Caenorhabditis elegans: one gene and its partner. The protein of the gene in region 1 binds, or shares a complex with, the protein of each later gene. Each region holds a gene or a part of one and is shown on either strand. Other genes may lie near its edges. A codon is read from its position in the direction of its gene.

The links.
Region 2: the proteins of tmie-1 (region 1) and tmc-2 are in contact, whole or in part, in a cryo-EM structure (PDB 8TKP), measured with the Caenorhabditis elegans proteins. Residues at the interface, in NP_001379030.1 of Caenorhabditis elegans: Arg23 (codon at 2,108), Trp25 (codon at 2,114), Met26 (codon at 2,117), Cys43 (codon at 2,521), Ile48 (codon at 2,536), Arg49 (codon at 2,539), Ile50 (codon at 2,542), Pro51 (codon at 2,545), Arg52 (codon at 2,548), Thr53 (codon at 2,551), Lys54 (codon at 2,554), Ile57 (codon at 2,563), Ala61 (codon at 2,575); in NP_001335510.1 of Caenorhabditis elegans: His176 (codon at 2,946), Ala239 (codon at 3,419), Asp242 (codon at 3,428), Glu243 (codon at 3,431), Leu244 (codon at 3,434), Val247 (codon at 3,443), Glu336 (codon at 3,876), Phe623 (codon at 5,027), Gly626 (codon at 5,036), Leu627 (codon at 5,039), Arg630 (codon at 5,048), Glu641 (codon at 5,081), Arg642 (codon at 5,084), Tyr647 (codon at 5,482), Trp693 (codon at 5,668), Ala695 (codon at 5,674), Met696 (codon at 5,677), Thr697 (codon at 5,680), Cys698 (codon at 5,683), Asn699 (codon at 5,686), Val700 (codon at 5,689), Pro701 (codon at 5,692).

What each region holds. Positions count from the first base shown.
Region 1 is NC_003281.10:10,854,786-10,858,741, forward strand, and holds tmie-1 (Transmembrane inner ear), read left to right. Parts: upstream 1-1,990; 5' UTR 1,991-2,041; coding exon 2,042-2,156; intron 2,157-2,509; coding exon 2,510-2,632; intron 2,633-3,201; coding exon 3,202-3,317; 3' UTR 3,318-3,401; downstream 3,402-3,956. Other genes in the region: oxi-1 (Ubiquitin-protein ligase E3B), read left to right, coding at 3,528-3,673.
Region 2 is NC_003284.9:9,301,773-9,309,814, forward strand, and holds the start of tmc-2 (Transmembrane channel-like protein 2), read left to right. Parts: upstream 1-1,951; 5' UTR 1,952-2,009; coding exon 2,010-2,150; intron 2,151-2,452; coding exon 2,453-2,535; intron 2,536-2,594; coding exon 2,595-2,735; intron 2,736-2,785; coding exon 2,786-3,050; intron 3,051-3,334; coding exon 3,335-3,457; intron 3,458-3,509; coding exon 3,510-3,655; intron 3,656-3,721; coding exon 3,722-3,819; intron 3,820-3,867; coding exon 3,868-4,082; intron 4,083-4,126; coding exon 4,127-4,242; intron 4,243-4,296; coding exon 4,297-4,434; intron 4,435-4,581; coding exon 4,582-4,851; intron 4,852-4,896; coding exon 4,897-5,092; intron 5,093-5,475; coding exon 5,476-5,533; intron 5,534-5,581; coding exon 5,582-5,831; intron 5,832-5,978; coding exon 5,979-6,104; intron 6,105-6,151; coding exon 6,152-6,230; intron 6,231-6,325; coding exon 6,326-6,765; intron 6,766-6,887; coding exon 6,888-6,992; intron 6,993-7,044; coding exon 7,045-7,161; intron 7,162-7,236; and 7 more. UniProt on the Caenorhabditis elegans protein: Probable ion channel.

The DNA of each region.
Region 1 (3,956 bases):
AAAAAATACTAGTTTTATTGTAAGTAGGCGAGATTTAGAGTGTTGCGGTTTTGGGAAATTTTTGGGATATTTTTTTTGGATTTTTGTGGGGAGAATAGCTGTTTCGCTAGGATTTTTTCTGGATTTTTTCTAGATTTTTTAACTGAAAATTCGCATTTTCGAAAAAGAAATTATTTAGAATTGGATGTTTTTTCCAAAATTATAGTAAACAGAAAACTAACTAATAATTTAAAAAACGCATTAAAATCGGCAAATTGCCGGAATTGAAAGATTCCGGCAAACCGGCAATTTGCCGAATTTGCCGGAAATTTTCGGCAAATTGTGTTTTGCACATTTTTTTTTGGAAAAAAAGCACAGTTTTAAGTGTTTCCGTCTTATAACAATCCCTCTAAAAATTCCGGCAAATTGATGTTCGGCAAACGGCAACTTGCCGAAATTGAAAATTTCCTGCAAGTTAGCAAACCGGCAATTTTCCGAAAATTAAAATTTCCGACAAATCGGCAATTTGTCAGAATTGAAAATTTCCGGCAAATTGGTAACTTGTCAGAATTTAAAGTTTCCGGCAAACCGACGAATTGCCGGAATTGAAAGTTTCCGGCAAATTGCAATTTGCCGATAATTCAAATTTCCGCCAAATCGGCAATTTGCAAGAATTGAAAAATTTCCGGCAAATCGGCAATTTTCCGAAAATTAAATTTTCCGGTAAACCGGCAATTTGCCAGAATTGAAAATTTCCGGCAAATCGGTAATTTGCCGAATTGCCGTCCATCCCTAACTCCACCTTTAATTTAAATAAAATGGAGCAACAGGAGCTGCGGGCTCTTTGTCTCTCTCTCATTTCCGGTGTGTACCTCTCCTGCTTCTCCCAAAGTCGAGCAGTGAGTGAGAGATGGAGAGATATCAGAGAAGCAGAGAATGTCTCAGTTGTATTGGTGTCCACAGCAGAAGCTCCAGGCTTCTTCTCCCCGGCAGTTCTTCGTCCCATTATATCCCACCACCACCGCTCTGCTCCCTTCTCTTCCCTCTCTTCTTCTTGTTCCCTATGGGAAATCTCGAACTTTTAACACAAAATTTATATATTTTCTCGTGTTTGTTCCTGTTTCATACTTTAAAATGAATAAATTTAAGTTTTTGAAATTTTGGAAAAAATTGAAAAATTGTGGATTTTTTAGATTAAAAAAAAAGTTTTTTCAAATTTTTTTAAACTGAAAAATTTGAATATTAGTGGATTGGATTTTGCAAAATAAAAATCAAACTTTTCGAATTTAAATGAAAAATTGTGTATTGTTTTCGGAAAAAAAACAAAAAAGTTTCTTTTTTATTTGGAATTTACTGAAATAAATTGAAAAAAAAACAATTTTTCAGAGAAATTCGAAAAAATTTAAAAATTCAATTTTTTTTTGTTGAAAAATTGCGAATTTTTTTTAAAAAAAAGCGAAAAAAAGTGAAAATAGGACGTTTTTTCATTTGGAATTTACTGAAGAAATTGAAAAAAAAAAATTTTCAGAGAAATTCGAAAACGTTTGAAATTTGGTTTTTATTTTGTTGGAAAAATTTCGATTTTTCTGAAAAAAAAAACAATTTTTTCGAAAATTTTGAAAAAATTTATCGATAAAAAATATTGAAAAATGGTGAAGCAAAAATGTGTAGACTAGTGGATTTCTAATCATTTTTAGAGTTTTTTTGCTGAAAAATTGAGAAGATTAAATCATTATTTCCTAAAATTGCTTGAAAATCCAAAAAGTTTTTGCTTGAAAATCCAAAAAAAATTTTTAGGGTAAAAATTCAAAAAAAAATTGAAAAAATCAAGAAATTACATTTTTAAAAAACAGTTTTGAATTAAAAATTCCCCTAAATTTTTAATATTTTTCACTTAAAAAATCCTTTCCAATTTCCGGCAAATTTCCAAGTCTTAAAAAAGTCGTAAAACCTGCTCCGCCTCAATTCACAATTTTCACTTCAATTTCCGTGGCGACTTCCGATTCTTCAGATTCTTTTCTCACATTTTCTTCATTTTTCGGTGAAGACGAAAAACTAGGTAATGCCGTCTGGAAATGAAGAAATCAATCATTTATCGGCACTTGATCAATTTGTGGCTCCCGGCTTACGATTATGGATGCTCATTGCACTTGTTGGAGGAGTTTTGCTCATTATGAGTGAGTTTTGAGTCATGTTTCGAGTTCCACGGGAGTAGGGTGTGCGTGGTGACTCCAAAACTTGAAGTTTCTAGTTCTACGGGAGTTGGGTTTCCATGGTGACTTCAAAAACTTCAAGTTTTCACTTCTACGGGAGTAGGATTCCACCGAGAGACATCCTGGTGACTCCCGTTGAAACTTCGAGTTTTCGGTTCCAAGGAATTGACCATTCCCTGAAGTTGCAGTGACTCAGTTAAGGAAAATCCTCTTCCGTAGACACAGAAACGTGGAATTTCTCTCCCCAGTCACCACAACATCCGAGGAAACCCACAGTTCCGTAGACCCAAAAACCCCAATTTTTTTCCATTTTCCAGTTGTCATCGTGTGCTGCTTCATGAGAATCCGAATTCCACGTACAAAACGACAAATCGATCTGATTGCTGCGAAACGAAAATTGAGAAAAAGCACCAAAAATTCGGCAGAAGCCAATGCTCACAGTGAGTTTTTTTTGAGCTTAAAAGCGAGGTTGTCACTGAAAATTCGAATTCCCGCCGCCGCCCCAGTCACTACAAATCCGGTGGAAATTAATGTTCTGCAGATTCCAACTCTGTGAAAGAAGGAGGAGTTTTTAGTTTCCGCGATTTCGGTTCTGCGGAATAACACTTCCCCCCGAACCGTGGTGTCTCCAGGCGGGAATTCAAATTTTTCAGTGAAATTATCGATTTTTCAAGCAATTTTCAGTAGAAACTGCAAATTTCTAAAAATTTTCCTCTCAAATTCTGAGTATAACGCTCCGCCCACTTTCCCGTGAATTCGGATCTGCGGAATAAGATTTCCCTTTGAACCGTGGTGTCAACCGGCGGTAATATGAAATTTTTGGTGAAATTTTGGTGAAAAATCTCAAATAATCCAAAGACTAAATTTTATTATATCCCGCTCGTATTCCCGTAGATTTGGTTCTACGAAATTGATCATTCCGTGGTGTCTCCCGGCGGGAACTCAAATTTTTGGGGTGAAATTTTTTGAATTTTCTCAATTTTTCGCCAAAAATCATGTTTTTTTCCAGACGACGAACGTGCTCAGGCAATCGTGATGAACTCAATGCCTTCTGGAGGTGGTGGAGGTGCTCCGAGCACAAGCAGCTCACGTCATACTGGCTCACGTATTCAATCTCAAGTTTAAATTGATGAAATTGATGATTTAAACCTTTTTTTTGGATCTTTTTGTAAATAAATTGAATTTTTAATATGAAAACATTTGCTTTTTTGCCGTATTTTTTATTATTATTACTTCGGTAAAATTTTCCGATTTTCTAATACTCGATAGACAATTTTGCAACGTGGTTAGATGCGGGTTTTTTTAGTATGAAATTACGAAGATAATCAATCAATAATGGATAATATTCTACGAACTCTTCAAAAGAATGCGAGAGAGCGTGAAGAGGAGGAGACGCAGAGACGACGAATCGAATTGGCTCACAAGTTGGAGCCATATTTAATAGGATATTTGACACGGAAAAAATTTCACGGGAAGATTAAGTTAGTATATATTGGTGGTTTTTTTTTTGCGGCAAAAAATCGAAATTTTAAAACTAAAAATTATGGCAAAAATTGAAAAAAAAAGAAGCAATAAATTTCGCGACTCAAAAAAAAAGTCAGAAAATGTGATTTTTTTAAATTAAAATTAAACTGTTAGAGGCTACATTTTTGAAAAACATTCATCTGCTGATTAAATATAATTGCTAAAAAAAACGAAGTTTTGAATATGTTAACGATTTTTCGTCAACCGGCAAGGGAATTTCAAAATTTCAAAAATCGATAA
Region 2 (8,042 bases), on another chromosome or scaffold:
CACCAACAATAACAAATTTCTTCTTTTCACCCAATCCGCCACATTTTGACATGCGCTCAGTATGACAAGCTTAAAAGAAAAACACGAGTAGCATTCTGAAACGAGGATTGAACGTACGGATTGCTATAACAAGTTTGATCAAGAGCAGAGACTCTATATCTCCTGCTTATCTCTCGACAATGGTGTCCGTCCACCGGCAGAATGAGAAGAAGCATTTGTCGGGGAAGAGGATGTAACTAGCGTTGGTTCGGTGGGGGGAGATATTGCTTTGAGAGGAGAAAACGAAGGTTGACAAGAAGAGTTGAGCCTGAAGATAAAGAAGAACACCACATTTTTGTTTGATTGTCACATCCGACCGGACTACTACTTTTTTGCGTAATTTTTAGATTGTATGATTTTCTCTAATTTCACCTCTATCGAATTGCACCTGACCTTTCCGACACTTGAGAGATATGTTGTTCTTATTTTCTCTTTGAAAGTCCAAAAAGTTCGAGAGATCGCATTTCACACCATGTCCCTCAAGAAATGTTTCTATTATTCTTATCCCAAAAATTTGAAACATGAAGGAGTTTTTTATATTTTAAAACATATTTTGTATATTGTTTTTAGTTAGATTAAAAAAACATATGTTGTTGCTGCAACAGTTAGAAGTTTAAGTATTTATTCTCTGTTTCATCTTTAAAACAGATACAAATTGTTACAATTTTTACGGGTCCTTCTATGTGTATTAAATAATTGTTTCCAAAAACAAACAACATTGAGGGAAATTAAGATGTAAAAAAATAAAATAGTGGAATTGTCAAATACCATATTAAGACACCTTGCCATGTTGACACTTGATATTAAGAAATATTCAACAAATTCTCCTTTTTAAGTACTATATAATTCATTATGTGTGTACTAATTAAGTCAGGAAATTTAGAAAATACTTTTATACTTGTAAAATTATGAAAAACATGAAAATATGGTGTAAACCGTTTTTTTTAAATTCAAACCTCTTCACTTTTTACGTCTTCATTTCTCGACATTTAAAATCTCTGTTTTAACTCAAAAATTCACTTAGGATTCGAACTAATTGTTAAAAAAGAAAACATTAAAAACTAAATGGAACAACGAAGATCTTTATGACACTGATACTCAAATTTTACATCCCCTCTTAAGTTTACGACCCCTCTCCTCCTTTCCACTGCTCATTTCCTCCGCAAATGTTTTCCTAGCGATGTTCGTTTTTTTTTTTCAATTCAGACGTGCTCAATTGCGAACTTCTTACTCGCGAATTAGATCGGCAATCTGATGAGTATGTTTTGCTCTGTAGATTGGCCTCGAAAAAGAAACCGCATCAACAAGAGATTGAGACAGACGGTGGCTTGTGTTATTTGCCATCGACATCAAAATCAAACGTGAGGTGGTTGCAAACTCATCTCCAATTTGCTCTTTTCTCATCAATTGTTATCAATATCCTTCCCAGACCCGTCGTCTTTTTTCTCCTTGGCCGACGACGAGTCAAAGGCAAAAAATGTGTCTTTGCTCTGTGTTTCTTGCGTGTCTTCTGTCACAGACTACTCTTCTGTGTGCTTCTTTTCGGTCTCCAACCCGCAAAAATTTCATTCATTACATCGCTTGTTGCATTTCGAGCACCTCCCGCTGGCCGCGCTCACTATCACTTGTTTCATATCACAATTTTTACATAATGTGGCTCACACCAGACACATGGCCCGCGTCATCCACCACCATCAGATAACCGCTCTTTTCCATCTTGTTAAGTTTCTCAGACGCGCAAAAAATGACTTCACTCCGTCAATTGTCTCCGTGTTCTCTCTTAAACGTTTGCTTTTTTCTAATCATATCGCAATCGCCATTACTCACAAACCACTTCCGATCCGCAATCTTCCCGTTGTCTTTCTATGAGAGATTTAGTGCTAAAAATAAATAATATTATTGATCATCTAAGAAGCTGTCAACTGGACGCATCGAGCAGTGGACGCCGGCGTGCAGTCATCTAAAGCACGATGCCGAAATCAGGCGCTCATCAGCCTCTGGTTCGACATGACACTGATGATGGTGGGGAAACAGGACAGTCCGTTAAGTCTCTAGCGGATGTTTCTGAAGAGGAAATTGATAGTCGAATGAGTAGAAGATCGTCAGTTATTGTACGTTTTCAAACTCGCTTTGTAAATTCTTGACAATTATGCAGTATTTTATAAATAAAAATTATTTAAAAAATGAATTACAATTTCGTAAAAACTAGAAGTGAAATAAACGTTTAGTTTTCATTTGTTAAGACAAAAACGTATGCTCTTGAAATTCACAGAAACAATCAAGGTGTATAAAAACTATCAATTCAAAAATTATATAGTATTGCTCTGAAGTTGTGAAAGAGTAAAAATGTTTCCAAGTCCAGATTATAACAGCTAACACTTGTTTCATATATTTAAATTAATTTGATTTTCAGGCTGATCTGCTTTCTCTTTTTCGCCGTTCCTCCAGTGTTCTTGTTCGACCACATACACGATTAGGAAATCCCAATTTTGACGAGTGAGTTTTCCAAAAAATTTATTCACTTTCCAGCATTTTGTTCAATTTTCACATTACAGTGACGATGACGAATTCGACGAAGAAGACGACAAAGAAGCTTCGAAAGATAGGATACTCAAGAAAATTCAACAAAAGAAAGAAATTATACAAAAATTACGTGGCCAGCCGTGGTATATGAAAAGAAAACGGCGGACGTTGAAGTAAGACCGCTATGAACATTTGAGCGAAACGTCAAAATCGGAAATTTCAGAGTAGCACAAAAACATCTACAACAGCAAGAAGCAAAAGTCTCGAAAGCAAGATTATACAAAGCAGAGGCTGGTCGAAGATTGACACAAGCCAGTCGATGGTTGGATAATCTCAAAATTTATTTGATACCCTGGGAAGCAAAGATTCGAAAAATTGAAAGCCACTTTGGATCAGTTGTGTCGTCATATTTTACATTTCATCGATGGGTTCTCGGAGTTAACATCACAATCACATTTATTATGTGTATGTTCGTAGTTATACCTGAGGTGAGCTTCTACAAGCTTATAAAAACTTCAACGCTTCAAAAATAGGGCCTCCAATTTTGAACTAAAGAAAAGTTTGATGTACAATAAATGCGGGAATTGTTCGCCCGGAAAAATTTGACGTCAGCACGCTTTTAATCATGCTAAATCAGTAAAGGAATTCGCGTCTAGAAGCGTCTAAATTCCAGCAGTTTTTGATGATCAAGCCAAAATAGAACATTCTGACGTGCACGAGATTTTTTAATGATGATATGTCTTGGTTTTACACCTCAGATTATAATTTTCAGTGGCTCGCCGACTCTCGAACTCAATTCGGTGATGACAGATACAATAAGACAAAGGCCATCAAAGTAATGCCACCAGCTGTTCGTGCTCGTGCCGACGAGCTATCCACAGTCTGGGACTTTGGGGTGAGTTGTAATGATAACAGATAAAACCAATGTTCAATGGTTTTTTTTTCAGGGCTACTTTCAATACTCTTTATTATTTTACGGTTTTTACTCGAAAGAAACGTTTTTCGGAGAAACAATCAAATATCGTGTTCCAGTGGCTTATTTTTTCTGCAACATTTTTATTCTAGGATTTTCACTTTTCATCATCTTGAGGAAGTGAGTTTGAAAAAAAAAAGAAAATCAGATAGAACAGAAAAAAAAACAAACTCGTCCTAATTAAAGAATGGCGGCTAACAATCGTCGTGGGACCTTATCATCAGGAAAAACGCAACAGTATTTATTCAATTGGAAAGCTTTCACAGGCTGGGATTATACTATAGGTGAGCGTTCAGTTTTTTCGAGATTAATTTTATATTCTGAAAATTTAGGTAATCCTGAAACTGCTGGAAATGTCTATATGGCAAACGTTATAAAATTTCGTGAAGCAATAAACGATGATAAACAAAAGCCAAGTGACAAACATCCCTGGATTCGGTTTGTAGCACGTGTTCTTACAAATCTTTTCATTTGCGCAATGTATGTGTTCTCAATATGGGCCATTATGCAATGCGGAACTTTGAAAGGAGAACACTTTTTTGCGCAGGTTAGTAGTTCTTAGATGCTCAATAACACTATTAACTTATTCAGAATGCCACTGCTATAACCATTTCTCTCATTACATTAGTTTTCCCGAATATTTTTGATCTGCTGGGTAAAATTGAAAAGCTACACCCGAGAAATGCATTGAGGTTCCAACTTGGAAGGTATGTTTCAAAAAAATTTGAGCTTATGGAATTTGAGTAGAGGAATTTTTTCAGAGTGCTTGTTCTATACATTCTGAATTACTACACTCTGATTTATTCATTGATGTTGCAATTGGAGCATTTGCAGAAAGAGAAAAATGCCTCTGATAATCCAATTTCTGCACTTGGCCATCCAGGAGATGCAATAGGAAGGTTCGTGAGGTTACGCTTTTAATTAAACGGTTTCAAATAATTTATTGTAGTATGATAAGAATGGTTTGACTATTCTTTTTTTTTAAATAAAAAAACAGGAAACCGACGCTGCATACCTACAAAAGTCACTGATATAATTTATTCCAGAACAATACGTGAGACAGTGTTGCCTCGATATCCGGTAGACAACAATCCCCATACATACTACTCCTACGCCCCAGTTACAACAACTCCCATCCCTGCAACCAGTTCGTGGACAACTGTGCTTCCCGACTTTGGACCATTTGGAGTGTATAACCCGAAAGCATCAGTCACTAAGGACGATACAGTTTTCTCTTCTCCAGTTGTAGAAACGCACATGTTTGGACCAAACTCAGACTGGAATGAGACAACTGTGAATGCAGCAAGCCCAACGGGGTAATATAATTATTTGTTTTCTAATTGTAGGCATAACTTTTACAGAGCCACAACACGTGCATCACTCCGTATGTCTCAAGGAGGTCTTTGTTGGGAAACAATCATTGGCCAAGAAATAACAAAACTTGTGACAATGGACTTGTACATGACAGTCGCTTCAATTTTTCTGATTGATTTTCTTCGTGGTTTGGCATGTCGATATTTGAATTTATATTGGCCATGGGATTTGGAGAGAACATTTGTGAGTTTTTAAATTAATTTAGTCTGTATTGATTTGCTGTGTTTAAAGGGGCTCAAGACCATACCAAGTTTGGTGTTTCTGAAGTGTTAAGGACTTTTGGGCGATAAATAACTTAAAATATGGATTTTATTCTCTTTGCACATTGAAAATTGCTGTGACATTGGCAAATAGGTAAAATTTCAAATTTTAAATAATTTTATTTTAACTTATCATTTCTTAGGCCGTCATAACTTTTTTGAGAATTTTTCAATAAGTTTCATTATGAAATAGGGTGTTATTAGACAATTTTGATTCTAATAAAGCAATAAAAATAATTCGACTACACCATCTTTAACCACTGCTCACATACTTTTATTCAACATTTTATACATTTAAAATTTCAGCCTGAGTACGGAGAATTCAAAGTTGCTGAAAATGTGCTTCACTTGGTAAATAATCAAGGTAGGACAGATCAAACATTGTCTGCAAATATGCTGTTGCGTTTTTAAGGAATGATATGGCTCGGGCTCTTCTTTGTTCCACTTCTCCCAATGCTGAATAACATAAAATTGATTATCTTGATGTACATTCGAGGATGGGCTGCAATGACGTGCAATGTTCCGGCCAGTCAAATCTTTCGTGCCAGTCGTTCGTCCAACTTTTTCTTTGCACTACTAATACTGTTCCTATTCCTCTGTACACTTCCAGTCGGATTTGTTATAGCTTCAAAAACTCCGAGTAAAAGTTGTGGTCCATTTGGGTAAGAGTTTGATAAATTAAAACTTCAAATAAGTTTAATAAAAATTCAATATTTTTACATCTGTATTTTAAAGTACATCCTTAATATAAAGAAAATTGGGCTTAGCGTATATTTTTGAAGGTTCCCAATCACATATACGAATTTCAGAAATCAATCATTCTTCTACAGTGTCATTACTGATGTTCTTCATGAAAACTTAGACAAAACCCTTGTTAATGGTATCAAGTACAGTTTGTCTCCAGGAATCATTATTCCAGTTTTAGTACTGTTGTCGTAAGTTTTAAAACATTTGTAAATTTTTAAGTAGCTAAAAATTCCAGACTGGTTATATATTTCCTCATTGCAATGGTTACCGGATTATCACAAGCTAATCAAGACCTGTCATTTCAACTTATGGTGGTATGATTTTTAAAATTGTTTTATCAAAATTTAGTCCTATTCGAAATTTGACTGTCAAATGTAATGCAATGAAACATCACACTGAACATTTCCAGGAACGGACAGAAGAGAAGAAAAAAATCTTTGAGCTTGCCGGGGGAAAGAAGAAAAAGAGCAAAGACAACACATTTGGAAAACAAAAACCAAAACAATTACTACCCCCACCAACAAAAGGAGTTTCTTCTGATGATGATTCCCAGCACAATAGATCAACTGCTAAAAGTGTATCAGGTCGCCAATTTGTACCTTCATTAGGATCAGTATCAGAAGTTGATCACAGCACCGGTGAAGAACAATCTTCTGATAGTGAATCAACAACATCGTCGCTTCCGCCAAAGTTATCTCTTCGTCAGAGGTTTTTAGTATGCATTGGCTGGGCTGATCCAAATAAATATGGGCGACATGATGATATTGAAATGGAAGAAGGTGGTGGAAGGCTTCGAGAATTATCAACTGGTTCCGAAACAGATTCAGATGATGAGGATAGCGAAAAGAGGTAGTTTTTTTTATTCATATTTGCTTTTTTTCCGGGCCATTTTTTTAAAAGTAGTTTTCTTAGAAAAAATTTGTACTCGGATTTAAGTGTCACGTAGTTCCTCTAAAAGTTAATATTTTCAGAAACTCCGAAAGCAGATATCTTCTGCCACCCGACGGTTCTCGTCCAGCATCTAGAGAACGATCAGAAAATCCAAGTAAACGAAGCTCACAAAGTAGAAGAACAAGGCAAGCATCAATTATCACAGCAATCACTATTTACAAAATAATTATTTTTCAGTAATCGTGACATGTCCTACCGTACAGCTATCCAATCATTCGATCAAAACTCACAATCCGCATCAGCGTCTTCATCAAAATCTACTACTACTGCACCGTCCAATTCTGAAATGAGAATGTAAGTTTGATTGAAGGAAGACGTTTGGTTTGAATATTGTGAGAAGTTTTCGAAACGAGCACTTTTAATTTGCAGTGAGATCACAGAAAATCCACTTCACACTTACATCACACCTTTGCGAATTGAGAAAAAGTTTGTTATTGGTTTTATAACTGCTCTTATCACCTATGTTATACATTTTAGGAGCTCTGCTAGTTCATCAAGTAGCTCGCATCAGCCATCATCTTCAATTGAGAAACAAGCTGCAAGGAGGCTTCTGCAGCCAATTAGTACAACACACAATATTCGATATGGGTAAGGAATAACAATAACTTTTGGAAACCTGTTTTCACGACTTGATATTTTCAAATATACATTTCTCATTCAGTGCCTGAAATTAGCATTTAAAAAATATTATATCACTTTCTGAGCTACAGTATTATCACTACGAGCTTCACTTTGTTCGTTCATTGTTTTGTTCTGGATTTTTTTACTGATCGTATTTTTATTTCAAATGGTTGGCAGTACGTGATCAGAGACACGAAACAGGAAAATACATCACGTTTTGTGAAAAAAGACCTTTCAGATTCGATATTAGGTTTTTGACCGGCAAAAATACTTTGGTAGCTTAAGATAATCATTATAAATATTTTCAGAGTTGCTACGGTAGAAAACTCTTCCCAAGATCCAACTCGTCCTCCATCAACAGACGATTCACTTGGCGATCCTGCACTTCATGAACCACTATGGGCAAATCTGAATCCTCACAGCAGGTAGAAATGAAAAACTATATTGAAACTTTATCAATTTACCATGATTTCAGCTACACCTCTGCAATGATGTCTCCAATTATGAATGAGGTTATGTCAAATGATGAGACAACTGATGACGAGAAAGGGCGT